Saccharomyces cerevisiae S288C: one gene and its partners. The gene in region 1 interacts genetically with each later gene. Each region holds a gene or a part of one and is shown in the gene's direction. Other genes may lie near its edges. The genes, in order: XBP1, YKR104W and CCA1.

What was found.
Region 2: mutations in XBP1 (region 1) and YKR104W together harm fitness more than expected from each alone (negative genetic interaction), as found in Saccharomyces cerevisiae (one large-scale study listed by BioGRID).
Region 3: mutations in XBP1 (region 1) and CCA1 together harm fitness less than expected from each alone (positive genetic interaction), as found in Saccharomyces cerevisiae (one large-scale study listed by BioGRID).

The regions. Positions count from the first base shown.
Region 1 is NC_001141.2:174,062-181,940, reverse strand, and holds XBP1 (Xbp1p), read left to right. Parts: upstream 1-4,690; coding exon 4,691-6,634; downstream 6,635-7,879. Other genes in the region: glucose-induced degradation complex subunit FYV10, read right to left, coding at 1-1,514; FMC1 (Fmc1p), read left to right, coding at 1,702-2,169; SGA1 (glucan 1,4-alpha-glucosidase), read right to left, coding at 2,288-3,937; YIL102C (uncharacterized protein), read left to right, coding at 7,054-7,359. UniProt on the Saccharomyces cerevisiae protein: Transcriptional repressor which binds to the consensus sequence 5'-GCCTCGA[G/A]G[C/A]-3'. Represses CLN1 transcription.
Region 2 is NC_001143.9:650,753-661,885, forward strand, and holds YKR104W (uncharacterized protein), read left to right. Parts: upstream 1-6,083; coding exon 6,084-7,004; downstream 7,005-11,133. Other genes in the region: putative multidrug transporter NFT1, read left to right, coding at 2,328-5,984; VBA5 (basic amino acid transporter), read right to left, coding at 7,964-9,712; GEX2 (glutathione exchanger), read left to right, coding at 10,690-11,133.
Region 3 is NC_001137.3:512,571-524,616, reverse strand, and holds CCA1 (tRNA adenylyltransferase), read left to right. Parts: upstream 1-1,947; coding exon 1,948-3,588; downstream 3,589-12,046. Other genes in the region: RPH1 (Rph1p), read right to left, coding at 1-1,248; BCK2 (Bck2p), read right to left, coding at 3,846-6,401; aminophospholipid-translocating P4-type ATPase DNF1, read right to left, coding at 7,158-11,873. UniProt on the Saccharomyces cerevisiae protein: Nucleotidyltransferase that catalyzes the addition and repair of the essential 3'-terminal CCA sequence in tRNAs, which is necessary for the attachment of amino acids to the 3' terminus of tRNA molecules, using CTP and ATP as substrates. tRNA 3'-terminal CCA addition is required both for tRNA processing and repair.

The DNA.
Region 1 (7,879 bases):
AATATTTTCATGTCAACTGGATCCATAATTTGACCTGGATTTAAAGAAATTAAGTTTTGCTTTTTCAATGTTTTGGCCAATTTCTTCAATTTTTTACTGTCGTAAACATTTCCATTTGGTAATAGTATTGGATTTTCAAATAATTGAGACTGAATGTGATGAGCAAATGGTAATGCCTGTGTTATTGGTTTGAAAGTCTCACTGCAAACGGGACAATTTTTCCTTTTTAGTGAATGTAGCGTAAAGAGTTGTAAATCTTCAACTTCTTTCTCTGCTGTTGTGGCAGTTTCCGTCTCTTGATTTCCATTTTCATCGTCAGAAGGGTGCAGGCAATCTCTTGTCTTCAAAGACGATATACCTAGTGACAGGTATATCAATAAAGGGTCATTTTGTGATATGCCATACATGGAATAAAAGTCGCTCAAGAATAAATCATTTAATACCGACCATCTTTGATCATCTAATAAATTCAGATATCTTTCGAAATCTCCACTTTGTAAATTTATTAAGGAACTCTTGTCATAGTCTGTTGTATTCACCGCAGGTTTGGAGGTAATTCTAGGTAAAGATTTGTGAAAAAAATGTTGAAATATTCGATCTTTCTTCATTGGTAAACTTTGAGACTTAATCTCTTCAGTATCGAATCCAGAGCTGGTAGAAGAAGTTGGCTTTTGATCATTACAGTATTTGATAAAAATCAGAAGTCCAGATGCTAATTTTAAATCGGTGAAGTTGCTCTTAACGAATGGTAAAAGGAATCTTTGAAAACATACTATAGCGTCGGTATAGTTATCCACCTTTAGTAGTTCAATATATTCTTGCAATCTTGCTTGAAACTCTAATATAGAGGACTTTTTGGTCAGTGTCTTTTTGTTCTCGTTTATCCATGAAATTAGGGGTAAGAGATTACGCTCATGTAGTAACGAAGTCGAAATTCTATTAGCCTCCAAGAGGACATCATAATCAATGAGATCATCCAGTTGGCTCTGTTTCAAAAACACTACGCCAGAGTTCCAATGATCCTTTGTCTCCGAGTTGTATTTAATCGGGTTATTCCTCGTCAGATAATCACCAATTAAAATGTTTGTATAACTCTGATACCACTGTATCAATTTAGTCCTGGTACCCTCATTATTTCCATTGTGCGATGTTCCTGAATTTTGTGACTTGATGTCCTTCAGTTCGTGGAAAAACTCCAGCCTTTTTTTAATTCTGTTCAAAATCTGACAGTAGGACTTGATTTGCGTATTTAAAAATCTTTCTATATGGTCAACTTTCCTAATCATTTCAGTTATTTTTGCTAGTGCCAACTCGTCGTGCTCAACGTCATTATGTTCAAATATTTGATTTAATGCGGCCGTGTGTTCATGTAGTGATTTGGTTTCCTTATTAATTACCGCTTGAGTATGCTTGATACGTTTGGACAGTAGTTCATAAGGAATATGAAATAATTGTTGATTTAATTTCAAATGGAAATCCACATCAGGCTCATTAAATATTGATTTCTCTGCCATGGCTTACCTACTTTCCTATAATTTATAATCATTTTCTCTGTTTTATGTATGAAATTGTAGATTTAACCACCCCCTTCTCTTCGCCTTTGCAAAAAGTGAATATCTCAAATTGCACTAGAGTTTCATTTGCAGCGATAAGTGGATAACAAAAAGCTGAAAAGAGAGAGAAAGAGAGAGTGCCAGGGAAATGGATAGACCAAGAACATTACGCACATATAGAGGACTCATAAGAGCCATTCTGAAATATGAAAGGCCAAGCAAGATAGTCAATTGGGGCAATCTACGAAAGGCAATGATAACAAAGTTGGAATATGCTAAGAAACAAAATCAGAGAGACTCGCATGAGAACATCAACAGACAGTTAGAGAAATGGAAAAAACTAGATCCGGTAAGCGACAGATCTTTGAATTTGTTTATAGCCGACTCTAAGTCATTACGTTCCATATTACAAAACGATATAAAGTGGGAGAAAAAGGTGGCCCAGGGACAAAACGTTGACGAGATATTCGAACACGCTTTGGACATCATCAAGTTCTTGGACAACCAAAGAGAATACGAGGAGCTGGTCGACAGATACAATCCTGGCAACAAGTTGACACAGGATGAGAAAGTGAAAAGAACTGCAAACGTGGTTGGGCTGGACGTTCCGACATAGTATCTAATCAATTTATAATATCAGAGTTTTGTAAATAAGTATATATATATATTTGATGTAAATATCTAGGAAATACACTTGTGTATACTTCTCGCTTTCCTTTTATTTTTTTTTTTGTCTACAAACTCTGTAAAACTTCTTGTCTTATTTGATAGGCATCCCAGAATGAAGTATAGGACCAGGTAAGGTGTTGGGCACCCTGCATAAACCCTGTGTATTTGTTAAATTGTTCACTTAGTTCCCCGTCTGTTCCCACGTGAGCTTTCAGCTTGACCAAGAATGAATCAGCTAGTTGGAAGATTTTTTGTATGGTTTGATTGAAGGCAGGTGTATTGAACTCCAAAATCAAATAGCCTTCGTCATTTCCCAAAGTCGTGAGGTTGGAGAATACCAGCTCGCTCCAAAATGCGTTCGAACAATCGTTGTTCATTGGGACAACCAAGTCATGCTGCTCAGAGATGTGTCTGTAAATGAGCTGATAAAGCGTTGTTGAAGCGGTACACGTGGCCAGGACCCAGGGATTTCCCTCGCCAAAGCCATATCCATCATATACGTCCTCAGGATACCGGCCCAGGGCAATACCCGTTGCATTTTTGGAGCTATCGTTGATGGGGTATATCGAACGCATGTGCAACATCAAATGGTGCAACGTGTTCAGGACGGCAGGGTCATTGATATCGAACGGAAGATGGGAAGCAGATGGCGCATCGTGGACGGTGTTCGCAGCTAATAAAGTGGATATGTCCAGTCCGGATCTCAATGTGTCGGCAATCATGGGTGTCCCAACAATATAATTGTACTTGCCGTTGATAAACCCATTCGCAGGGTCCACTAAAAACTTGGAGATGTCCCGGCGTGTCTGACGCAATTCTTCAACAAAGGGAGACGACCGTTCTGAGGCGTTAAAATACGACAGCGACTTGTCCACTGCAGACAGTTGTACCAGTAAAGTAAAGAAATGCATGCCATTGACTTCCTCCCATAGATCAAATCCGGAAGAATTCCAGTGGTCAATAATGAACCTCAGGTCCCAACGTACAATATCATCAAAGATATCTGCGGTGGACTGGAATGGGTACTTGGCCCCCAGATCAGTGCCAGATTGCTTGATGTAGTCGATGATTTTTAAGATGGCAATGCTTCGAAGAGCAGGCCCATCGTTTTGAGGACGACCCCAATCTTCCGTGAAAGCCGTGTTGTCGACGTTCCACTTAGGGTCTCCCAAAGCCACTGTATCGTTAGTGTAACCAATGCCAGCGCCCAATGTGTTGTTGCTTCTTTGCAAGTGGAATGAAACGTTCAGGTACTGCAATAACGTCTCTATTGCCGGGCCCGCAGAATGAGAGACAATACTGTTTATCGTCAACGCGCTGTCCCTTATCCATTGGTAGAAGTAGTCTGGATGCGTTTGCGATGGTGACGCAATCACGACCCCAGGCGAAATAGACGGATACACGGCGCTGGGCCCAATATTTTCAAATATTTTTTCGATGGAAACTTTTTTCTGTCCCTGGAGCCATTCCTCCAGCGCACTACTGTCCCAAGCGCCGTTTGAATCGTATACCACTGTCCCATTCATCAAGACTGCATCCCGCAGCTGCACTTGCGAAGGGCCGTTGTTTGAAAATACACCGCCGTAGCTTTGATCGAGAATGCCCTTGCCAAAGTCAAATTCGTATATAGTAATGTTCTCGAGCGCCCAAGCAAACCCGAATCCTACGCTGAGCATGCCGAGTAATTTGTTATAAAACATCTTTTGTCTTGCCATTTTGCTGCTGTTACTTATTTGAAATCTTGCTCTAGTCCACGATTATCACTATATTGTAAATGTACGATTTCTTGTGTAACAGAACAGATAACGGATCCAGAGCCAAGAGATGAGAAAAAATACGAAATGCGCAGGAGGAAACAGGGAACCAAAAAAGGACCCTTGCTTCTGTGCCTGAGTCCCCTAATTTGTGACTCCACACATGCAGGCAAGTTAAAAGCACCTTGTACGAGTGCTATGAATGGGTGTTACTCTGGCCCGATTTCCCTGACTTTCCTTATTCACCCTCACCCCTAATACCCGTTTCCGCGGATAATGTTCTATGCTTCGAAGCGCCCCCCTTGCGCTGGGCCTCGAACCGCATCCATTGAACAACAGCTTGGCCTTCCCTGTATTCTACCACATCCATTGCTATTGCCCCTCTCCCCTTCTCCTCTCTCTTCTTCTCCACTATACTGTGCTTTTCAGCCCATTCGGCGCGCGAAATCACAAGCTGTATATATACATTTACATATACATATATATATATATATATATGTGCATAAATGTATGTACATATATGAATGCCGGGCCGCGTGGCGTCTGTAGCTTGTGCGTGTACGTGTGTACACACTTCAACATATATATACATACATATATATATCTATTATTCGTGTACTAGTGTTTTAACTTGCTCGTTCTCGGTACGCATCCAGTTCTTCTCCCCACACAACGGCAAGCTCAAAATACCTTATCATAGACACCTTCTCCAACATGAAATATCCCGCTTTTAGCATTAACAGTGACACGGTACACTTAACGGACAACCCCCTGGACGACTATCAGCGTCTCTACCTCGTCAGCGTACTGGATAGGGACTCGCCGCCGGCCAGTTTCAGCGCCGGACTCAATATTAGAAAGGTTAACTATAAATCCTCCATTGCTGCGCAGTTCACACATCCAAACTTCATTATCAGTGCTCGGGACGCAGGGAACGGGGAAGAGGCGGCGGCGCAGAACGTTCTGAACTGCTTCGAGTACCAGTTTCCCAACCTACAAACAATTCAGAGCCTAGTCCACGAACAAACGTTGCTATCGCAGCTCGCTAGCTCCGCCACTCCTCACTCCGCCTTGCATCTGCACGATAAAAATATTCTGATGGGTAAGATCATACTACCTTCCCGGTCTAACAAAACACCAGTCTCAGCATCACCCACCAAGCAAGAAAAGAAGGCTCTGTCAACAGCATCGCGTGAAAATGCCACCTCCTCGCTGACAAAGAATCAGCAGTTCAAGTTGACCAAAATGGACCATAATCTGATCAATGACAAGCTCATCAACCCTAACAACTGCGTAATATGGTCGCATGACTCCGGCTATGTGTTCATGACGGGCATCTGGCGGCTGTATCAGGATGTTATGAAGGGGCTTATAAACTTGCCCAGAGGTGACAGCGTTTCCACTAGCCAACAGCAGTTCTTTTGCAAGGCTGAATTCGAGAAAATTCTATCTTTTTGCTTTTACAATCACAGTTCGTTCACTTCTGAGGAATCTTCAAGCGTACTGTTGTCGTCCTCCACCTCTTCGCCGCCAAAGAGACGGACATCCACAGGGTCTACCTTCTTGGACGCCAATGCGTCTTCTTCATCTACTTCTTCAACGCAGGCAAACAATTACATCGATTTTCATTGGAACAACATCAAGCCCGAACTGCGGGACCTTATTTGCCAGTCTTACAAAGACTTCCTGATCAATGAACTTGGTCCTGACCAAATAGACTTGCCCAACTTAAATCCGGCAAATTTTACGAAAAGAATAAGAGGTGGTTACATCAAAATTCAGGGTACTTGGTTGCCGATGGAAATCTCAAGGTTGCTATGCCTGCGGTTTTGTTTTCCGATCAGATACTTTCTGGTGCCTATTTTTGGTCCAGATTTCCCCAAAGATTGCGAATCGTGGTATTTGGCTCATCAAAACGTTACATTTGCTAGTTCTACCACTGGTGCAGGTGCTGCTACTGCTGCTACTGCTGCTGCTAATACAAGTACCAATTTTACGTCTACTGCAGTGGCAAGACCTAGGCAGAAGCCCAGACCCAGGCCAAGACAAAGATCTACTTCCATGTCCCATTCCAAAGCGCAGAAACTTGTTATTGAGGACGCCTTGCCCTCATTCGACTCATTTGTAGAAAACTTGGGCCTTTCCTCAAATGACAAGAACTTCATTAAAAAAAACAGCAAAAGGCAAAAGTCGTCCACATACACCTCTCAAACTTCTTCTCCAATAGGGCCAAGAGATCCAACGGTGCAAATTTTGTCAAACCTAGCATCCTTCTACAACACCCACGGTCACCGGTATTCATATCCGGGAAATATCTATATACCACAGCAAAGATACTCTTTACCCCCACCAAACCAGCTCTCGTCGCCACAGCGGCAGCTAAACTATACTTACGACCACATTCACCCAGTTCCTTCTCAGTACCAGTCTCCAAGACACTACAACGTCCCCTCTTCACCAATCGCGCCTGCTCCTCCCACTTTCCCTCAACCTTATGGTGATGATCACTATCATTTTTTGAAATATGCTAGCGAAGTTTATAAGCAACAAAACCAACGACCAGCTCATAATACAAATACCAATATGGACACCTCTTTTTCGCCAAGGGCGAACAATTCACTGAACAATTTCAAATTTAAAACAAACTCAAAACAATAAAAATGTCATCTGTTACATTTTTGGTAATATTCTTTTATAATGGTTCTTTAATTTTTTTACATAATTTACATATTATTTCAAAGTTTTTCAAAAATATCCGTACTATATGTTTTTCCAGACAAAACATAAAACATACAATGATCTTTTTGAAGAGAGAATTAGTACACTCATTACAAGGTGTATGACGTGCCGAAGAAAAAAATTGCTTCCAATCGGATTTGAACCGATGATCTCCACATTACTAGTGTGGCGCCTTACCAACTTGGCCATAGAAGCTCGTACTTGTTGGTTCAGTACTCTTCATCAAGCTATACTATTTATCTAGGATGACGGTCACAGTGATTCGTACTCGACTGCTTCTATAATCTGTAGGTGGCTTGCGCATATCCTGAATTATCGTAATTAAAGAACCAAGTTAGATGCTAAAGGTGGAAAAGTTCAAAAAATTGAAGCGATTCGAGGTCTATTATTGTTTAAAAAATTCTTTTCTGGAAGAAGTAGATATCGAGATGAAATATTCCTGCAGTATAACAACTATAATGAGCAATGGTTCAGCAAGCTTGTTGATGAACTGGGAAGAATTAACACCTGGTCACTGTTTTACCTCTTACACAACTAACCCTATCGCAGGTGACTATGGTTTGAATGCATCAGCAATAGACGGCCACACGGAAGAGTTAGTGGCGACCCACCCAGCGGGAACCTTGGAGAATGCAACGCAGTAGGTTCATAGCATTCGCAAATAATGGCATAGCCTCACATTTGCTGATGAAAATGGTACTATTCTGCCACAGTCCTGCTCTTTCTTTACAGAAAATGAAGAACATTAGAATGTTGTGATAAAAATTTAGGGTTACTTATTTCATGAAGGCAGTAATAATACGTATGAAAACATTAGTCAATAGACGATTGATTATTATTCCAACAATAGTATATCTGAACAGCCGTACGCAAAAAAAGCAAATTTAATTGCTGACCATTATTCAGAGCAGCTGTTTTGCCAACGTTTGCTCAAGCTATTGTCCAAATCAAATAGAGAGATACGAGTAAGCTGTTCATCAATGCTATGACTTTTAAACACATTTGATTCTTACTGCGAAAATTCCACTAGACAATTAGGGCTAATATGTGACATGCATATGTGACATGCATGTGGTGCAATTGCTGTTAAACATGGGCCTGTAAGCGGGCCAGCACATCTTCAACGGCAACCTGCCTCGACGTTTGGATGGAATATACTGAACT
Region 2 (11,133 bases), on another chromosome or scaffold:
AAGAAGCATACGGGGTTATAGAAGCTAATCGTGCCCAGCATGAGTCCTAACAAACAGAACAGACTCTTTATCCATCCGAATTCTAGTAAGTAATTATTCTGTTCACTTCTATCCAACGAAATGGGCGTACGATTGAAATAACAGTTGATTGAAATTATAGGGGCCCTATTCGCCTTCTACAAAGCACAAGGAAAGGAACATTTACAATGAATAATACGAAACAGCTGGCAAATGTGCTGAAAACCATTGAGCGATGTTACCACGCTGAGATCCATGTTTTCAAGAGTGGGCTGTACTATAATGAACCAATGTGTTCTTTAAAATTGTTAGTGTGTTTTCCCAACATGAAATTGCTACTGGAAGAAATTGATATTGTAATAATATATGTGAGTATCTAATCACACACTGGCTGCATCACATTGATTCATGTTATGTTTTTGAAATTAATGTATTCGTTGTGCATGGATGTTACACATATCCTAAACCTAAATTATGAGTACAAACACACCTAGGTAGAGAGCTCTACGTCGTCTTAGTTCTCAGCTTGTAAGCTTTAATTTACGCGAAAAGCTATTTACAATTTTTTATTTGAAAATTGATCGCATAACTTAATGAAAGTGTACAAAGTAGGATAGGCATTCTTTGGTACCGATTTTCTGAATTGTCACCAGCAAAGCCTCATTTATTTGAAATCATGAAACTTGTTAACGATTAAATCTAGCATGGCGATACTCGGAAAGTCCATAAAGAACTTCTGGCAAGAGCCGAAATTCACGGTAATTTTAATTGAGCACCACTATAGCAGTGTCTTTATTGAGTTGGCTAACACTAAGGTCGTATTCAGTACTTCTGAATTTCCAGATAATATAATAGACGCTCATACTAAGAAAATATTCACTATAAGAACCTTTCACAAATACTAACCTAGAATATTTATCTTTCTATTTGAGTAAGAATGGAAAATAAAAAAGTGTTAATAAGGTATAACAGAGTGTATTTTCAACCGTAAAGAAATGAATAAGAATAAACGCGATTTAAGCTTAATAGAAAGTACATAAGCAACGTCGCGAACCGGTAATGGAAAAAATAATTGTTTTATCGCTTTTCTTCAGAGGGTTTTTGTAATCGATATTTGGGTGGAAAATTCTGGGGCCCTACGAAATGACGAACTAAAAGCCAAGAGTTCTAAAACCCTTCAGTGTAGTGCTTTTTGAAAAGCCAGTTTTGTTATGAGCAACAAATACATGTGAGCTTAGAAAGATAGATTGAGCTTACCTGAATCAATGTGAATCGAAAATTTCCTCCGTCCTACAAGTATATATTGGAGGAAGATAAAACCAAGATTGATGCACTGCGTTTTGTAAATAGGTTCTGGGATTACCAACGTACTTCTTGATAAAATGGGCTATTTTTAAACGCTTTACTTTTTTTCTTCAGCGGAACCCGGTGGTTTTTATGATCTTTATACTTAATTGATGATTACAGTTTTGGAATCAAAAGCTTTATTCGGAATATTGTGCAAATATATTGTTGTTTTTATTGGATAATGGTGTCTAGATTTAACCAAGATATTAGATTTATTTCGCTTATAGCATCATTTTTTTTTTGATCAAAATTTTCAACTCTTTGAAAGTGCCATATTTCACAAAATATAACATTTGTCCCACGATTTAGAAAAATACCATAATCACTCTTCAACAATTTTATTTCTTTACTCTCCTACTACAGTTGCGTACATTTTAACTACACGTTTAAAATATTCAAGATTTATGAGACTGTCATCGAATGGTATATAAAATAAAAAAAAATTATATCTTAGAGTCCTAGTTTAATAGAAAGAATAAAAAAGGTCACGGAACATCACTTTCTAACATATCTTCCTGGGTTTCATCTTTACTAGAACTGACGGTCAAAGGTCTTTGGAGAGTACTCGCTTTTTTGATGAAAATCACGATAGTTAATTTTTCCGCCATGTTGTAACTTTCTCAAAACTGCAATTTCAGGGTGTCCAATTTACTGTCAATATGCAACCAAAAATATAACAAAGTCCTTTTGAGCAAATAAAGTCGGACATGACAGTACAACGCATGATCGATTATTAAACGAAAATGGGATATCATACTGTTTTAGAAGTTATTGGGTGCATTACTCTGTCATAAAAAAATCATGTTACTATCTATAAAAAATGCCTAAAAAATTGGATTACCACTTGTTATGGAAAGATCAGTAAAATATAGGATAACCATAGCGTAAGTCTGGCGTTCTGGAATATTTGTTTTTTAGTTATTAAACATACTTTTCACGATTCACAGTATTAATTTTTAGGAATGATAAAAAATGGTACATGCCCCTATTGGGAACGTGATGATCTTTCGGAATGTGCTAGGCGAGAATATATCGAGTTTAAATTTCCTCTATTTATATTGTTGACTGGTATGATATACGCGTTTTGCAAAGTCTTTCGAGCCTTTTATCTAAGGGGGAAAAATCATACAAATGAAGCGCCAGAATTTGAAGAACAAGGTAATGGAAACCACGAATATGCAAGGTTCTCAGTTTTAAGACTAAAATCTGCATGGGAAAGCCGTAGCTTTTGTAATGTTAATAATAGATCTACTTTCGACAAATTCAAAAAATTTATAGAGGGTGCCTTCATTGTTTTGCAGCTTACTATCCACCTGTATATTTTATCTAGTATGCCAATGGATAACAAAAAGTTCTTTCACCAAGGTTTTCTGGTTCAAATGTTTCTCTGGATTTTACTGCTTGTTGTTATTACACTTCGTTTAATTTCAGCAAGCCAGTCATTTCGGTGGGTTTTAGCATGTAAGCGTGATTTATGGGCTGTTTCGTTTTACTCATATGCATCCCTGTTTACTCTTTCGATTTTACCTCTTCGTTCCGTCTTCATTGGAAAGATAAAAGATAAAATTATGGTCAAATATATCATTTCCGAGACTTTCATTGATTTAGCGCTTTTATTATTATTATCAACGTCAAGTATAGAAGGAACTAGGTACTCATTTTTGGTTGAAAATGAGAACAAAAAGTTGCCACCGGCTCCTACCGTCTTTGGCCTTCTTACTTTTTCTAGGATTGATCGGCTTATTTGGAAAGCATACAAACACTGCCTTGGAAACGCTGATATTTGGGATTTGGATATTAATAATAAGTCTATAGCAATTTTGGCGAACTTTGAAATGTCTTCTAAAAAAGGAAGGCTCCTTCCAAACATTATTTGTTATTTTAAGGCTGTTTTCATCTCCCAATTATTTCTGGCTTTTGTATCTAGTTTTTTGAACTTTGTACCCTCATTGTTGATGCCAAGAATACTATCATACGTTAATGACCCAAAGTCAAAATCATGGAACTTGGTGTCTTTATACGTCTCATCTATGCTCGTCAGTAAAATCATTGCCACGACTTGTAGAGGTCAAGGATTGTTTTTAGGTGAAAAGGGTACTATGCAACTAAGAACAGTTTTGATATCCAATATCTATTCCAAAACCTTAAGAAGAACAATTCTAAAAGACTCAACAACGTCACTTCAAAAAAATGCGTCAACATCCTTTGAAGAAAATCCTGACTCTTCTGAAGCGGAACCTAGAAAAAAGTCTAGTAGGAAAGACAACTCTGTGAACAATGTTATGTCAATTGACGCTTTCAAGGTTTCTGAAGCTATGAACACTTTTTATCTGGCATGTGAAGCAGTTTTCATGACAGTTACGGCCCTAATGATACTATATTCCCTACTGGGATGGTCCGCCTTTGCTGGTACCTTTGCTCTTCTTGCCATGATTCCTTTGAATTTTTGGTGTGCAACTTTTTACGGGAACTATCAGGCCGATCAATTAATCCTAACTGACAAGCGTACCTCTGGGATTAGTGAGGCTCTGAACTCAATACGTGTAATAAAGCTACTGGCATGGGAAAATCTGTTTTATCAAAAGATTATAAACGTAAGAGATGGGGAAATAAGACTCCTTAAAAAGAAGGCAACAATTTTCTTTTTGAACCATCTCATTTGGTTCTTTGGGCCCACTTTGGTCTCTGCAATAACATTCTCAGTGTTTATTAAATTCCAAAATCAGACACTTACTCCTACAATAGCATTTACAGCTCTTTCTTTATTTGCAATATTGAGGACACCCATGGACCAAATTGCTTCGACTGTCAGCCTTTTGATACAGTCTTTTATTTCTCTTGAAAGAATCCAGGATTATCTTAATGAATCAGAAACAAGAAAATATGAGATTTTGGAACAAAGCAATACTAAATTTGGCTTTGAAGATGCAAGCATGGAATGGGAAGCTGCTGAAACAAGTTTTAAACTTAAGAACATTTCTATTGATTTTAAGCTGAATAGTCTCAACGCAATTATAGGTCCGACTGGGTCAGGAAAGTCTTCGCTATTACTTGGACTATTGGGAGAATTGAACCTTCTTTCTGGAAAAATATACGTACCTACAGTTGAATCCCGCGACGACTTAGAGATTGGTAAAGACGGAATGACGAATTCAATGGCATATTGTTCTCAAACTCCGTGGTTGATTAGTGGAACAATTAAAGATAACGTTGTTTTTGGAGAAATCTTCAACAAACAAAAATTTGATGATGTAATGAAATCCTGTTGTCTTGACAAAGATATCAAAGCAATGACAGCTGGCATAAGAACAGACGTGGGTGATGGAGGATTTTCCTTATCTGGCGGACAGCAGCAAAGGATTGCTTTAGCCAGAGCAATTTACTCCTCTTCCAGGTATTTGATCCTTGATGATTGCTTGAGTGCAGTAGATCCTGAAACTGCACTTTATATATATGAAGAGTGTTTATGCGGCCCCATGATGAAAGGAAGGACCTGCATCATTACGAGTCATAATATTTCTTTAGTTACGAAACGGGCTGACTGGCTTGTGATTTTAGATCGTGGCGAGGTGAAATCACAGGGTAAACCATCGGACCTCATTAAATCTAATGAGTTTTTGAGGGAAAGCATAAACAATGATTCAAAAAATACAACTCACAATCAAATTGACTTGAAAAGATCAACAACATCAAAGAAAACTAAGAATGGAGATCCCGAGGGAGGGAACTCGCAAGACGAAGTGTGTGCTGAAGTTGAAAATTTTGAGGAAACAAAAATGGAAGGATCAGTTAAATTTTCAGCTTACAAATGGTTAGCAGACTATTTCGGGGGACTGGGAGTTGTTTTTGTTTTCACCTCGTCCTCCATCCTTATTCATGGAATCACACTGTCTCAGGGCTTTTGGCTCAGATACTGGCTGGACACTGGATCTTCAGGGAGTAAGTCTACCTGGCTTTATAGAATAGTTGAGGGTCACTCTAACATCTATTTCTTACTGACTTATATTATCATAGGTCTTGTTTCTTCATTTTTAACTTCTGGTAAAGTTTGGATAGCAATAATTTCAGGTACCAACGTCACCAAGAAAATATTTGCGAAGCTTCTATCCAGTATCTTATATGCCAAGTTACGTTTTCATAATGTCACGCCGACTGGAAGAATAATGAACAGATTTAGCAAGGATATGGATATTATTGATCAACAATTGATCCCTAATTTCGAAGGACTCTCTTATAGCGTCGTTGTTTGTCTGTGGATTATACTTTTAATTGGATATGTTACTCCTCAATTTCTGTTATTTGCTATTCCTTTATGCGCTCTTTATTATACCGTATGTACGTTATATCTTCGTGCATCTAGAGAGTTGAAGAGAATAGATAACATCAATATCTCTCCAATACACCAGTTATTCGCTGAAGCCATCAAAGGAGTAACTACAATTAGAGCATTAGCAGATGAGCGTAGGTTTATCACTCAATCTTTGGTTGCAATTGACAGAAGTAATGCTCCATTTTTTTATCTCAATATGGCCACCGAGTGGATCACATATAGAGTGGATATAATTGGGACACTTGTTCTTTTTAGTTCTTCTGTAATGATCATAATGAAGGCCTCATAGTTGGATGCGGGGCTAGCGGGGATACTGTTATCGAATGCCTTTTCCTTTACTGAAACTGCTCAATGGATCATAAAAGTATTTTCAAGCGTTGAACTTTTGATGAGTTCAGTAGAGAGAATAAAAGAATATACAGATATACCTTCCGAATCAAACGGCTACATATCACCTCCAGCTAATTGGCCTCAAACAGGAGATGTTGAACTAAAAAACTTATCATTGCGCTATTCTCCTCATTCCTCTAAGGCACTAGATAATGTATCATTCAAGGTAAAAGCAGGAACAAAAGTTGGTATTGTTGGTAGAACAGGGGCTGGGAAATCTTCTATTATAGCGGCTATTTACCGGCTTTCAGACTGGGAAAACGGTACGATTACTATTGATAACAAAGACATAAAACATATCCCTTTAGAGCGTTTAAGAAATTCTATAAGCTGCATCCCACAGGATCCTACTTTATTTGATGGAACTGTTCGATCTAATTTAGATCCTTTCGATCGGTATTCTGATGTACAAATTTATGGCGTACTATCCAAAGTGGGATTAATTGAAGAATGCGATGAATTGTGCTTGATTTTTGAGCAAGAGCAGCCTAATTTTTCTAGTCATAAACTAAGAAATAGATTCATTGATTTGAATACTGTTGTGAAATCAGGTGGTTCAAACTTATCTCAAGGGCAAAGACAACTTTTGTGCTTGGCACGATCCATGCTTGGTGCACGTAATATAATGCTAATTGACGAAGCAACCGCCTCAATAGATTATATTTCTGATGCTAAAATTCAGAAAACTATAAGAGAAACAATGAAAAATACAACAATTTTGACTATTGCTCATCGATTAAGGTCAGTAATAGATTATGACAAAATTCTGGTGATGGAAATGGGCAGAGTCAAGGAGTATGATCATCCATACACTCTAATATCTGATCGAAATACCATTTTTTACCGCCTCTGTAGGCAGAGTGGCGAGTTCGAAAACCTTTTCGAGTTGGCTAAAGTCTCATTCGATAATAAAAGATAAGACAACTAGAATTTCCTATTTTTATTCATTCCAGTTCTAGCTACGAAGTATACGATCTGCTTACGTCATATATTTGTGTGTAATTAGAAGGCATTCAGGAAGTCGCTTTTAACTTTTCAGGGCTATATGTCCTAATCCACTACTTTTTTTGAGAACTTTAAGAAATAACTCCTTTGAACCTGTCTGTGCCAAACAAAATTTTGCTGGTACATTTTATGGTATATAAACAAGCTACGTTATTATTACTTTTTTTTGATAGTTTTACTTATACTAGAAAATAATATTATATCATCACAAAAGAAACTCTCTCGTTAAGAATCCCGAATATTCAGCAGGAGCAAAAAAAAAATACCATAATTTAAATGCTTATTCAGTACTTAGCTGCTGATTTTATCGCAAGTATACTATTGGAGAGTACCGTGGTTCATATCGTGCTATTTTTATCTATATTTAAATTTATAGAAGTTTATCGTAGTATACTATGTAATTCTCTGCCGTATTGGCGGCAAAGACAAAAGCACTGACAGTAAACAGTTTTTCTGATGAGAATTTATGTCGAGGAACAAACGAAAATTTTGCTGGCCAAATTTGCTTACGCCTTTAATGTGATTGCGGTTGAGGTCTGTTATTACGCAGCTGCTATCATGTGTCTATTTGAGATTCTCTTTACAGGTTATCGCTGCATTTTTGTCAAGAAAAGAAAAGAAGACAACCTTTTTCTTGCACTGCGATGAGTATATTCAGGCTCGCGAATTTTCCAGATTTCTTACTAAAGACACATCTTTGAACGCACCAGCATGAATTTTATGAACTACTGATCCATATATTAATAGGTTTTAAGTACATATAGAATACTTAAGAAATTACATTCCATTGCGATACACCTATTTGATTCTGATTGTGTTGAAGTCTGTATAAAAGGCGAAAAAAAATAAAATGAAAATAAGAAAATAACTGCGCTACTTGTCTTCTAAATTATCTTCTGGTGTATCGTCCTTTTTTGGTATGATTAATTTCTTATTGGATGAAAAACTACAAAACAAAAATCCTAAGGCATAAAACCCTAGATCCATCCAAAATACGTTCTTAATGGAGTCGCTTAAAATGTTTCCAATAGTCGAATGAGAACCGTCGTAGTTTTGAAGACGATACAAAATCATGTCATCAACCGTTTTTCCTTCGTAAGGCTCTAGATGAGCTCGTGATACTTTATTGTGAAAGGAGGCGGAAAAAACAGTGGTTGAAAGCACACCACCAAGAGTTGTACCTAATGACTTCATGAATGTATTGAAAGCTGTTACTTCAATAAAGTCCATAGCAGCTTCTGGACGATCTTTGGTAATTTGAAGCTGTGCACTCATGAGCGATGCTTGTAGAGCAAATCCAAGGGAAAACCCCGGTAATAGCAAAACACCAATTTGAGTTGACTTCGTGGACGTATTTGTCATAAGTGTCATAAGCCCTGCTCCAATTACCCCAAGAACGCCTCCAAATATTAAGAGTGGTTTAACTAAACCGAGCTTTTTGGTAATCACACCACTTGCAATGGCCGCAATAACGTTGGTAATAACGATTGGTATCAAGTGAAGACCGGCTTTCCATGCACTCGACGCAAATATAAGTTGGAAAAACTGGACAGAGTATATCATTTGCCCATTGTAACCGGTACATAATAGAAATGTTACCATGTTTACTATTATTATGGCTGGTTTTGCTACCAATCTTCTTAGAAGGAGAGGCCTGTAGGATATATTATCAGGTTCCGGGTTGAATTTATCGAATAGGAAGAAATCGTACACCAATGAAAAAATAAAAAGTAAGACACCCAAAACCAAATATGTGATGACTTGGCCAGAGTTCCAACTATATTTATTACCACCAAAGGTTAGCCCCAGTAGGAAAAGGACCAGCCCTGCAGAGCAGAGGGCAAAACCAAAGAAGTCAAACTTGAAGATTATGCCATTCATAAGTCTTTTAAAATTAACTTGGTGTCTGAACTTACTAAAAGTAAAGCTCGAGATTGTTCCTATAGCATCTTTAATTTGTTGAAGTATACCCTTATTCTCGGCCTTATAGGTGAGTAAAAACATAATAATGGCAAGACCACCGATAGGAAGATTGATATAGAAGCACCACCTCCAGGTAACATGGGTTGTAAAGGCACCTCCGATTATAGGACCAACGATAGCAGCTACAGCAAATGCACAACTTAGGATGGAAATCACCAATGGACGTGACCTTTCACCAACCATCGTACAACCAATAACAAAGCAAAGCGTTTGGAGTCCGCTTCCCCCAACACCAGCAACAACTCTACCGAAAATGAGCATATTCATTGAAGAGGCAAGGGCAGCAATTAGGGATCCGGCTTCAAAAATAAGTATTGCTAAAATGAGACTATGCTGGAAACCTATGATAGATGCGAATCTTCCCCAAATGAGACTCAGAATAGCATTTGGTAAACTGTAGCCTGTAACGAGCCAACCTGTTTTGGAGTAGTTTCCGAACTGTTCTGCGACCACGTCAATAATAGTTCCCACTATCAAAATATCCAGTGCAGTTATGAATAGTACAAGAGTTAACGAAGCCAGGCAGAGGTACAAGGAAAGTCCCATTGGAGAATCATTGCTACCTCTAGCATTCAATGAAGCGTCTGAACCACATGCTCCTTCTATCTCCTGCTGCGAAGAGTACTTAGTTTCCTCCATATTTTTGAATTTCTATCGATTAAGCTCTATACCAGGTATGATCTGGTCTGATCAGTTCTAGGTATGAGTATAACTAGAATACATCTATATATATGTATATATATATTTAAACCAAAAAAAAAAAAAATTCGCTTCTCATAAAGGTGTGATGACACTATTATCTTTTGCATATTTTGTCGACTCGTATCATGTACGCGCTGCATATGAGGTGCGGCGCTATCTGTTAAATATGTACTAATTTGCACCTGCTGCAAAGGAAATGTGGCACTACTTTTACTCGCATGTTAACTTTCACCTACTATATATAGAAAAAAGGGTGTTGCTTTCAATCGCCGACTAATTTGCTCAAATACTCTTTACACAAAGGAAATTGTGTATCAGTAACCCTTACGGTTTGTTTATGAAGGAACTTTGCTCGTCCTACACCACCGGATCTAGGTACTCAATTTTTTGATGATTTTGCACTTGTGCTCATATCCTGTCGACAGGCACCGCATTTTTTTCCTTGTTTCAACAGACATAAACACAAGCTTCACTCATTAGTTTGAAAAGAGATAGTTTCGACGGTACAGTATTCTTGTCGTACAAAAGTCTTCGGTATAACTGGTTCGTTGTGGATTTTCGGAAAGTAAGTTGATTGTACGACGACAGGTCAAAGTTAAAGTTAAAGTCACCAGGTGTATAGACACCACATTGAAGGGGCGTCACAGCAATTTTTTTTATTTTTTTTTGATACTCAATAATTACGAGCATATAATTTTAGTACTTCCAAAAAAAAGTTAAAAAAAAAATAGTGACAAAATGTGTCAGTAAAATATATATGAGAACATGGAATGTATTAAAGTAATTCCATTTCTAGCAGATGTAGCGACCGTAGAATCTTAAATACTATTTACATAAATAAGAAAAGTAAAATAGTTTTATGGACTGGAACGAGAAAAAAAAAAAAAAGAATAATCAAGTAAATAAATTATCGGATGAGTTCTAGTGTTGTTGGTGCCTCAAGTAATAAAAAAAGTGGAATTAGGCAGTCCTGTGAGATTATTGAGCGAGAACGTCACTCAAACGATGACACGTACTCTATGACATCGACCTTTTTTAAGCTCAAAGAAAACGAAATTATGTCTGCACAGTTTGATTCCTTGAAATATAAAATTCTACTGATAAGTACCGCGTTTGTATGTGGGTTTGGAATTAGTTTAGACTACACACTTAGATCGACCTATACGGGCTATGCAACGAACTCATATTCAGAACACTCCTTACTTTCAACTGTCCAAGTTATCAATGCTGTTGTGAGTGTCGGATCCCAAGTTGTCTACTCTAGACTCTCTGACCACTTCGGAAGACTAAGGCTTTTTTTAGTTGCAACTATTTTTTATATAATGGGAACCATCATTCAATCACAGGCGACCCGTCTC
Region 3 (12,046 bases), on another chromosome or scaffold:
ACCCACATCTGGGCTTGTAGATCTAAGCGAGCTGCTTTCCATTTCTTTTAAAGTTGGCCTGTGAAGTAAGGGCATGGCAGGATTGGGTAATTGATTGAGGGGTGGCGTTCCTTTCGACTCTTTATTATTGTCCCTCCAAGATTTAGCGAGTTTCTTAACATCTATTTCCACTGAGTCTGAAATGCAGTGGCATTTTCCAGCTTTCTTCCCAATCGGTAGCCACTCCTCCAAAGCAAAGTTGACGGATTCTGCCAAGTTATATCCATAATTGAACCCTGCATGGTAACCATAGGGATAAGTGATCATGAATTCGCCTTCATGGTGGACAATTTCATTGCATCGTATGCCATTTTCCTGCAGCAGTTTGGGCGAAGCCAAAAACATTTTATGTCTTAAAAATTCAGGACAATTTTTGGCTTCTTCGGGAAATTGCTCCTGCATGAATTTGTAGAATTTGAACCTATCCTCTTGCGGTATCGAATACCACTGTTTTGGGGCACCGAAATGAATATAATTTATGGAATACAGGTCCTGATCTTCCAAGTGCCAAGAAAAAGAAGCCTTCCATAGACCAGCGTATAGATAGGAGTCATTCACCCCAGGAACCTTTGTTTCCATATGGTCCAAGATGTTCGGTAGTTTGGCAACATTCCAAACGTTCAGCCCTTCAGGAAAGATTGATCCTGGTGTATCTGCGCCGTACATAGGCGTAGTAAAATTTAGCGTTTTCCAATAATACTCTTCCAAGAACTTTAATCTCTCCGTATTTTGGAAGTCAGATAAATCTATTGTATACTCCGTCCTGAACTGTTCAAAATCATCAATATTAAAAGACGATTCAAAATTTTTCAGTTTCAACTTCGTGGATTTGGAAACGGAGCCTTTCCTAGAATTACGTCTTGCTTTAGGATCCTCCGGAGGCACATAGTCCTTAGAAAGATCTTTCCACTGTATAATGTTATAGGTCTTGTTTTTCTCCACGTTCTGCACCATAAAAAGACCTTTATTACCAGAAATATGCTGCTGAATAGGTGATTTAATCTTGATCTTTTGGAGCGTTTCCGCAGAATAAGGCAGATCTAATTTGTCTTTCCATTCTTTAGGTGGGATTACTTTCACAACACCACTTTTCATGCCATATTTGTTTATGGCCTTGCAGTATGCATAGAAATCTTCGAATTGCTCGTATGTGGGTTTGAAGACGGGCACTCCGCCCACGATTTCTGAAGGAGCGATTAGTTTCGTCATGATTTCACGCAACTGAATATCCTCACCAAGACAGTCTTATTCTTTTTTTCCCTTTTTTTTATCTGTTTATTTTTCTCCAGCAGATCTATAAAATAAGTGGTACTAATAGAAAGGTTAAGTCCCCCTATTTTAAAATAATGCTGATAGAATGATTAAATTGGCCGCTTGATGAAAACCGCAAGTAGCTACTTCAGGGACAAGCAACGCCTTCGATGCGAATATATGTTTTGCTGATAACGATCTATGTACAGCGTCTGCAATTCTCTTAAAATTATCGCCTTGCCATTGTTACTTAAGGAGTCTATGTGATTAATTGCATGGCGATGAGGTTACCCTTGAAAAATATAGAAAAGATTTTTCCGAATAAAAAGAAAGTAAAACTAAAAAAAAAAAAAAAATGGAAAAAGAAAAAGAAACGTTTAGGGGAGAGGAGGGCTGCGGTTAAGGCTTATGGGGTGTATGGGCGGGGGAAATAGGGCATACTTTCTCGATTCACCAAACCCTTAGGTCATCTGATTTTTAGGGTTGTGTTCTTGTCGTTACTCAGCCCTAAAAAACATTCGTTAGGGTTGAAAAGTTGAAAAATGAATCGCAAAAATCTACCATATTAACAATGTACTAAAGGAAACTACATAATACATCGCAACGCTTCCCTCGAGATTAATTCGTATCCGTGGGTTATAAGGGCTTTTTTTGTGTATGCTACGGTCTACTATATCTCTACTGATGAATAGTGCTGCTCAGAAAACGATGACGAATTCTAATTTTGTTCTAAATGCACCCAAAATCACCTTAACCAAAGTGGAACAGAACATCTGTAACTTGCTGAACGATTATACAGACTTGTACAATCAAAAGTACCACAATAAGCCTGAGCCATTGACTCTTCGGATCACGGGCGGATGGGTGCGTGACAAGCTTCTGGGACAAGGTTCTCACGACTTGGATATTGCCATCAATGTGATGTCAGGTGAGCAATTTGCTACTGGTTTGAACGAGTATTTGCAACAACATTACGCCAAATATGGAGCCAAGCCTCATAATATCCACAAGATTGACAAGAATCCCGAGAAATCCAAGCATCTGGAAACTGCCACTACTAAGCTCTTTGGCGTTGAAGTGGATTTTGTCAATTTAAGATCTGAAAAGTATACTGAACTTTCCAGGATACCTAAAGTGTGCTTTGGCACACCCGAGGAAGACGCTTTAAGAAGGGATGCTACATTGAACGCTCTTTTCTATAACATTCATAAAGGTGAAGTGGAAGATTTCACCAAGAGAGGTCTGCAAGATCTAAAAGATGGCGTTCTCCGTACTCCGCTTCCTGCAAAACAAACATTTTTGGATGATCCCTTGAGGGTTTTGAGGTTGATCCGTTTTGCTTCTAGATTCAACTTTACCATAGATCCGGAAGTGATGGCTGAAATGGGCGATCCTCAGATTAATGTTGCATTCAATTCAAAAATTTCTAGAGAGCGAGTTGGTGTGGAGATGGAGAAAATATTAGTAGGACCAACCCCTTTATTGGCTTTGCAGCTGATTCAAAGGGCTCATCTTGAAAATGTTATCTTTTTTTGGCATAATGATAGCTCCGTCGTAAAATTCAACGAAGAGAATTGTCAAGATATGGACAAAATTAATCATGTATACAATGATAACATACTAAACTCACACTTGAAAAGTTTTATTGAATTATATCCAATGTTTTTAGAGAAGCTTCCTATCTTAAGGGAAAAAATTGGTCGTTCGCCAGGATTTCAGCAAAATTTTATATTGAGTGCGATCCTGTCCCCCATGGCTAATTTACAAATAATCGGGAACCCAAAGAAGAAAATTAACAACCTGGTTTCGGTGACAGAAAGCATTGTGAAGGAAGGATTGAAGCTGAGTAAAAATGATGCAGCAGTTATTGCCAAGACCGTAGATTCAATATGTTCATATGAGGAAATACTTGCTAAGTTTGCAGATCGTTCCCAGCTAAAAAAATCCGAAATCGGTATATTTCTACGGAACTTTAATGGCGAATGGGAAACAGCACATTTTGCATCTCTATCAGATGCATTTTTAAAGATTCCCAAGCTTGAAACTAAAAAAATTGAATTACTTTTCCAAAATTACAATGAATTTTATTCTTACATATTTGACAATAATTTGAATAATTGTCATGAACTAAAACCAATAGTGGACGGAAAACAAATGGCAAAACTACTTCAAATGAAGCCAGGTCCATGGCTGGGTAAAATTAATAACGAAGCGATTAGGTGGCAGTTTGATAATCCTACAGGGACTGATCAAGAATTAATAACTCATTTAAAAGCCATACTACCAAAATACCTGTAGTAGCTTATTAGTATACATAAGACATGTAGAACAAGAATGCATAAATAACTTTCTGTTACCTTATTGAAAAGAAAAAAATAAAAAAAATGAAAACGAAAATGAAATAATATCTCTAGTAGTTATTCTATGGTGTATGATAACTAAACATATTTATTAGTTTTTATATACTCTATTCAAAATTTTTTACCAGTTTTTAACTTTTTCGAAAGATATCTGTTACTATTTTTGAACTTTTTTTTTTTTTTTTCATTCCTTTTTTAGTTGCTATTATCAAAATAAAAAGACTGTAAATTATTATCAATGTCGTTATTTGCAATTGGTGCTGCATTTTGATTATTTGAGTTTTCCACAGATGAGTTCGCCTGATACTGTGGAACGAAAGTATGACCATCGTAAAAATTTCTTTCACTGTTGTTTGAAACGTTTGAGCCCATCAGGTCGCCTAATGAAACAGTTGCTGAAGTATCCGGAGATATATTTCCAATGTATGTATCCGCAGACTTGGGTTCATTCATGTTGATGGCGCTGTTGCTGTTGTTATTGCTGTGGCCCATCTCACCTAGTAGCTTCGATTGCTCATGGAAAAACGACTCTGGGTTTTCAAAATCGAACTCGGTATACACTTGCAAATTAGTCTTTGTTGTATCAACATTGTTTGGTGTTGAGCCACTGTAAGAAACGCGATTTCCGGTATTATTATTGGATTCTGATCGAGAAGCGTGTTTCCATTGAGATCTAATAAAATGATCGAGGTTTGCATCACTCAATCCCAATCCCGTATTTACCAATGTATACTTATCTTGATCTTGAAAGTAGTTTCCGGTCGCGTTGCTTGTTGTAGTGGATATTGAGTTCGTCATAACAGAATCTACGATGCTGCTACTAGTTGTACTACCGTGTGGCATCAAAGAGTTAAAATCTAAACTGTCATCCTTTCTGTGAGTATCCATCCCCATAATATCCCTTCTTTGGAAGTGTGCCGTATTCGGAATATCTTGTACTAGGACATCCTCTTCTTCATTTTCTTCTAACGTGGATCTAGGTATACCTTTTAGTGCCGGTATATTCTCCATTGGAGTATTGAAAGCAGAGAATTCCCCACTAGCGTCGTTTTCGTTACTGTATTCTTTGTCAAATGAGGAAAAATTGCTAGATGGGCGATAACTTGTAACAGTACTGGTACTTGGAACAAAGTTCATATTGTGTGTTTCAAGCACATTTGGAGTTGAAGAAGCAGATGCAGAACTTGGTAATGTGTAACCTGTCATGTAGTAAGGAGGAGTCACCAGAGAAGATGAAGGTGTTGTAATGTACGAATTAGAATGTTGAATTCTTTGAGCATCAGAGATAGATTCTTGTTTCTTCCTATGCCCTCCTTTGACACTGCCACTTTTATGCTGTGGTTGGCCATCCAAGAATATTTCGTTAACTGGGGTTGTACTATCCATTTCTGGTAGATCAGTGACGCTTGGTAAAGAATTAAGGTCTCTGGATAATCTATAAAGGGAAGACCCACGAGTTGCGGATCTTGCTCTTCCTGGCGATGCAACTCTTATTGGTGAATAACGATTTGACATGGATGATAATGAGCCAACTGAAGTGGTTCGCTGAGTTGGCAATTTATTAACTTTTATATTTGATTGCTGAATAGTTTGTGCAATAGTGGGTGAGGCTAGCGAACACGTGGACCCGCCAGTGTTGGCTCGTTTTCTAGTAAACATCTTACTAAATGCAATAGAAGCGTCATTTTCTTCCGGTAATTTAACTTTACTTTGTGAGTCTCCGCAGTTGAAAGATCTTGAAGTTCTTGGTGAATCAGGTGAATGCTTTGCAAAGTGGGGTGTACTTAAATCGGAGTTCAGACTTAAAGAGGATTTATTGTTACTGTAGTTTTGATCTTTGAAGTTGAATGATTCGGTAGAATGATATAGCCCACTTTCCTGTGACTTTTGTCGGTCTGAACTCTGAGGCGCCACTTTATTGTACTTCAATCTTGTATTTTTTGTGTTCATGAGAGGTATACTTGATAAGTTGGGAGTAGAATTTGTTTCGCTTTCAGTGAACCTTGATGGCGGTTTTGCTAGTGAAGGATCATGAGTTGATTTCGGAACGACTTCTTTCTCGGAACAAAAATCGTTATTGTCAATAGGCAGATCAGTAGTGTTACCCATCATGTTTAATGATGGAAAGGACAAGTTTCCAGAGAACGGAGTTTTACCGTTTAGCCTATTGTGTTTTAAGAACGAGTTATAAGATCTTTTGGTTGTTAGTGACGAGGCGTCGATTCCGCTTTCTGAGATAGGGGTTCCCGAAAGGGGTTTAGATTCTGAATCCATTTGAAGCACCATTGGTTGCTCTTCAACGATGTCCTCTATGTGTTCGTTCTTTGACGATCCAAATATCTTCAGCATTCTCCTTTTGGAGGATTTCTTCTTTAATTTCGCCTTTGGTGCTGGCACAGAAACCGGCTGGGTTTGCAAGTCAGTATCATTTTCGTTAGCCGTGTCCTGTACAGTATAATTGACGAAGACCATTTCACCTGATTTCTTTCTACTACTCTTCTTCGCCTTAGTATGGTTGTCTCTGGGATCCTCTAGCAAAACTTTTTTCGGGCTAGACATAACATTCATAGTAGGTAATACTGGAGTGCTACATGAGCCTGTTGAGGAGTTCCTGTCCGGCGAAGCTTGTGTGCTGCCGCTAGCGGATCTGCGATAATAGTGCGGAATTTTCCATTTATTCGTAGATTCCGTAGAACGACTCTTTGTGGAATTAACCGAACTGGAACGATGGTGGTGACTATTCTTCGGCATGTGCTATTGGTTTTGAGCGATAAATCAAGACTGCCTTGCTTCTTGTCTTAGATCTCCTTCTGAGCTTTCTTAAAAGACTTCCCTAAATGGCTGATCTGATTGTTTCCTTTATTAACAACAAATCCACTGAAAAAAAAGTCAATAATTTGATGGATATTAGCGAATGTTAACCGGAAATAGGAGTGAAAGACGTGTATTACAAAACTATGACTATGCCTGATTAATATCCTGAATAACTAGGCATGAACCTTTTTTCACGCAAATAATAACAATAGGCCTAGGATTTCTATGATATAATAAACTTTCTGTTAGTATAAAAAACTATTTTTGATAAATATAGTCTCTCACCTAGTCAAAAACATACGTATCACGGCTTGATTAATTCTTAACTCTACTTTACAACATTTCAAAAATTCCTTTGATCATGACCTTAATCAATTTTTTTGCCAGTTAGTGGAGAGTTCCCAGCGCTGGAAAGTGCTGGCGTCAGTTTTCCATCGGAAGAAAAAATTAGCCCACCATTGTGCGTCCTTGAATAATAGCGATCCGGGTTAACCGGGAGTGTTAATTATAGAACAAAGAAACCCACACGTCCGCTACTAAAACTTGCTAAAAGAAAGAGTTAACGCTGTAGTATGCATGAATTCCAAGGCTTCTAAGGCTTCTAAGGCTTCTAAGGCTTATCCAGTAATATTATGTAATATTATATATACAGTGAAAAGCGGAGTTCCATCAGCTATGGTTCGGATATCATTATTAATTGTTCTGTTGTGTTCCGATTAAGGAGGCTGCGTTAGTTACGCCTGGTAGATCTAGAGATGTTCTCGCTCTTTCCACAGAGTAGCGGTTATCTAGTTGGTTAGTGGCGATCATCTGTTCTCTTGTGCGGTCCAAGGATGACCTGACGTTGGTTGATGGGCCTCTTCCGAACGTTTGGGCCTGCTGAAATTGGGGCGATTGAAGAAGATCTTGTGTTTCCTTGGGTGAAGTCATCCAGGTTTCTTGCTTCTGATATCCGCTAGGACTTCCATCTTCACCGTGCATGAAAGTCATTGGAATCTCCTCTGTGACAACACTATCCCTTGAATAGTTCGATCCTCCTAAGTTGTCGGAAAGTGCTATGCCTTCTATAATCTTCTCTCCGTGTTGCCCAGCTTTTGTGACCTTGGGTCTGTTGGGATCTGTTGGATCGTAACCAGGAGGATAATGATCGAAATGGCCATGTTGCCACATCTCTCTTACTATTTCCACATCAGTTGGGTAGAAAAATTTTTGAAAACTGTCATATGTGAAACGGGGCAGTAAGCAGAACAGCACGGCAACAAAGAAAACAGCCCAAAATGAAGGTGCTCCATAGATACGCGCTGCAGCTTTGAAAAATTCTCTACTAGCTATCGCAGAAGACCATATTCCCGTCCATGCAAAAACTACGAGGCAAGACAGTGCAATGAATAATCCACTAAACCAATCCCATCTATATTGGTGTAATAAAACATATGTGTTACACGAAATTACAGCAATAGTGGTCACATAAACACCGACAAAATAACGATGATCCAATCCTAACCCATTGCTCGTAACTATCATATTTTTGTGATAAACCAAGTAAGGGAAAAAAAAACAGATAATAGACTGATATAATCCGTCCAACATATACCATAAGAACTTTCTTTGGTTCCATTCTTTCCTTAAAATTCCAACACGGTATAACTGAGGGACCACTAATGATATTGTGTCATTCACGTCCTGGTCCAGAATACCTAAGAAGATGACTGGTAGGGATGTAAATGCCAAATTATAGAACATCATGTATGTGTATTCATACAGGTAAGACCCATCAAAATCATTATAGATACCATACCAGAACAATGCCAAAGCAAAAATCATGTTTTTGTAAAAAAACTCAGGAATCATTTCTGCCAGTCTCTTATAAGACCACCTACCGTGAACGAGGACCAATCTAGCCAAATATCTGAATTGTCCAATGGCGTAGTCTGAGCACATAACAGCTTGTCGACCTTCTTCACCGGCAATACCAATACCAACATCCGCAGATTGAATCATGGCGACGTCGTTGGAACCATCGCCGATGGCTAGTGTCATGACATCTAGAGAATCCTTGACTAACTTAACAACGGCTGCTTTTTGAGATGGAGATACTCTACAGCATAAGACAGCTCTACAATTCTTGCAGAGTAAAAGAAACTTTCTTCTTATATCTTCACCATATAGCGCCAATTTCAAAGCATCACCATCGATAACGATGGCGTAATTACCCTTCGGAAATTCGTGATCCTTTTTAGCTTCAAAAATCTCTTCTTCTGAACCGGTTAAGTTGAAATACTCCTTCAAGTATTTGGAGAGTAAAGCATCCACAATTTCACTTGGTTCTGATCCGAATTCTTTCACGTCATCACCAGTTGTTTTAATAACTAACAATTCCATTTCATTATTCAAAAGGTTGCAAGAAAATCCAATGTTTATAGCTGTTTCAACTTTATCACCCGTAAGAACCCATAATTTAATTCCTGCCTCTGCAAGCAACTCTATACAATCCGGAACACCATCTTGTAAACGATCTTCGATAGCTGTACCGCCCAATAATATCAATTCGCGTTCAATGGAATCTGCAACAACTTCTAATTCATCCTCTCTGTTTGCTAATGATGCAGCAGCAATATCGTACTTTTCGTTCCATTTTTCGTATTCAGACCAACTTAACTCCCTTTGAGCTATGCATAACGTTCTTAAACCTTCAGTAGCGTACTGCTCTAAATGCAAAGCAGTTTTTTCCAAAATAGCTTCACTATTGCTACCACTCTGGCGACTTAATCTTGAGTATATAATGGAATCTGCACCTTTACAAATTAAAAGTGCTCTAGGCTCGTCCCCTGGGTTCAGACCCGGAATTTTGACAATACAGGACATTCTTTTTCTCGATGAATTAAACTCCAAAATATTTAGAATCTCAAATTCTTTTTGAATACCTTGCATTTCAATTATCAACCCTTTTTTGGTTTTTCCAACAAAACTGAATCCTACATCTCTAGCTGTGGCTACTAACGCTGCTTCGTCTGGAGATTGAGCTTTTAAATCCAGTTTTTTTGGATTGTCCGGGTTTGCTTCTACAAGGACGGAGTGACATAAAGCTAATGCTAACATAAAGTGCTCACAGCATCTTTGTTGTACTTCACCACTAGCCCCTTTCAAATCGCGAACGAACTCCTTTGATACAAAGGTAACTTCTTCGGGATAAAATTGTGAATTTCCTGATAAAGCTCTCAGTTCATCGATCATTGTATCCCTATCCTTGGCAATTTCGGCCTTCTCACGCCTACCTTCGGTTTCGACGTCGATACCTTGTCTTTTTCTTAATCCCGCTAACGCTTCGGTGTAAGCTCTTCCATATGAAACACCATTGATAGTACATTTTTTAAACTCCATTACATTTTGAGTTAATGTACCTGTTTTATCAGAAAATATATATTCCACTTGACCTAAATCGTCAGAAATATTCCAGGATTTTGGTGTACAAGGATAATCCAATTTGGCATTGTAGAGTAAAACGTCTCCGTAAATGAAGGCCGCTTGTGCAGTTTTGATGATCTCCACAGAAATGTACAAAGAGATTGGGACTAAAGATTGGTAAAGAATAACAGCAACCCAAAATGAGACGAAACCGTTTGTCGCCGCTGACCCAGCAATTGTTCCAAATTCATAGGAAAACCGTGATCTGCCTTTTTTGTCGTAATATACACCATTTGCAATACCAGAAACAAAACATAAGATGAAAAGTAGCACGAAATTTATCACCACAGAGAAGTTTAGTTCTCTTGAAATCCTGGACTTCTTGGTGGGTGTAATGCCAGAGTTTAACATGATTTTTGTGTCACCACCGGTAAACATTACAACACCCATTGCCCACTTAGTATTTCTAAGAGTGCAACCACGAAGCAGAACGTTATTAATAGTAATTGGCTCATTTCGTATCTCGCCATCTGCAAGATTTCTCCATTTCATATTACCTTGATAAGTGTACAAATTTGAGTGGGGCCCTTCACTTTCGATCCAGAATTTTGTTCTAGCAATATCTTTTGACGTTCTTATAGTATTGGTACACTTCAAGGATTGGCGTACCTTTAAGTTTGTTTCACCATCCAAATTTTTAGTTTCTACGTAGCAGGCACCATCTGTATCCGACGTTGAAAGTAAGATAATGTCAGCAGGGATTTCATCATTGTTATGGATACGAACAATATCACCAACCTTGACACCTTTCCAATAATTCTTGGCAAATTTACAATCAGTTCTGGGTGGTAGGGATCTATCAACTATATTGGCTTCACCGGCCCCTTGTTCCAAATTATCATAATCCAATGAAGGACGGCCATAATCTGCAGATACTCTGTAACTGTCAATGGAGTCTAGAGAGGATCTGGGTCCACTCGTTCCAACAGTTTTTTGTACTCTTAGTTCATGACGCTTTCTCTGCATTCTCTTCTTTTTGCCCTCTTCAGTTAAATGTTCTTTACAATATTGTATAAACTTGAAAAGGAGTCTAGAGTTTGCTTTCTTAAACCTTCTCCACAATGAAATATTATCGGTTGAGACATTTTCGTTCTCAACACCTTCTAAAATATGTGTCTTGGTATTATTCACCTCTAAATCTAGGACGGTTCTTCTTGAGTCTTCAATAGCATCCTTGATCGCAGTGATTATAACAATGACAACTAACGGAACCGCACTTAAACCAGGGTTCGTGACACCAAAAATTTGAAATGCACCTAAAATTATTAAAACTAAGAAATAAACGTTGGCGAAATTATGAAACTGAAATAGAATGTTTTTTGGTAAGAATGTTAACGGGGTATATTTGGTAGTTCTGATTTTATTACGAGGATACTGCATAATGGGGTTGCCTTCTTCATCTATCATATCTTTTGGTAAGGGCATATTGTAATACACAGTCCTTAGTTCTTGCGCACGATTTATGGCACCAGGGTCAATATCATCCTTCGTAAAGTCTTCAAATGGGTTTGGAATGTTCTTCCTAGCCCATTTCAAGGTCTTAGATCTTCCCATTATTGGGTTTCCTTTTTTATTCCTTTTTGTACCCATCCGGAATCTTTTCATACCATCGTAGTTAGTGTGCGGTTCACCACTATCATTGTCTAATTCCACATCATCAAACGTCCCAGATCCATTATTAAGTTTCGGTGTTGGCTGAAAGGAATGATTGTCATATTCTGTGTCATCGTTAAATGTGAATTCTTCTGCATCTTCACGTTTATTTTTGGGTGTTTCATCATTGAAGCTGACCTGTGGCCGGCTGTATTTGTTGCTTGTTGCACCATCATCAAAATGGGTAGGTGCAATATGTGTATCTTCATTACTGCTATTATCTTCAAATTGAAATGTATCTTCAAAGGGCGACATGGGAGCATGCCCATCGCCATGAAAAGTTCCAGACATAATTATCAACTAACTTTCCTTTTTAAAGTTAACTGCGTTTTTATTTCACTTCCAGGAGGAAATAAAGGATTTCTGTTACGGTTGCTTTCCCTTGCTCAACCTCCGGTTAATTTTTGAGTGTTTTTAATTGCGACCCTAAAAATCCACTTAAAACTGTCTGAGTTGCGTATTAC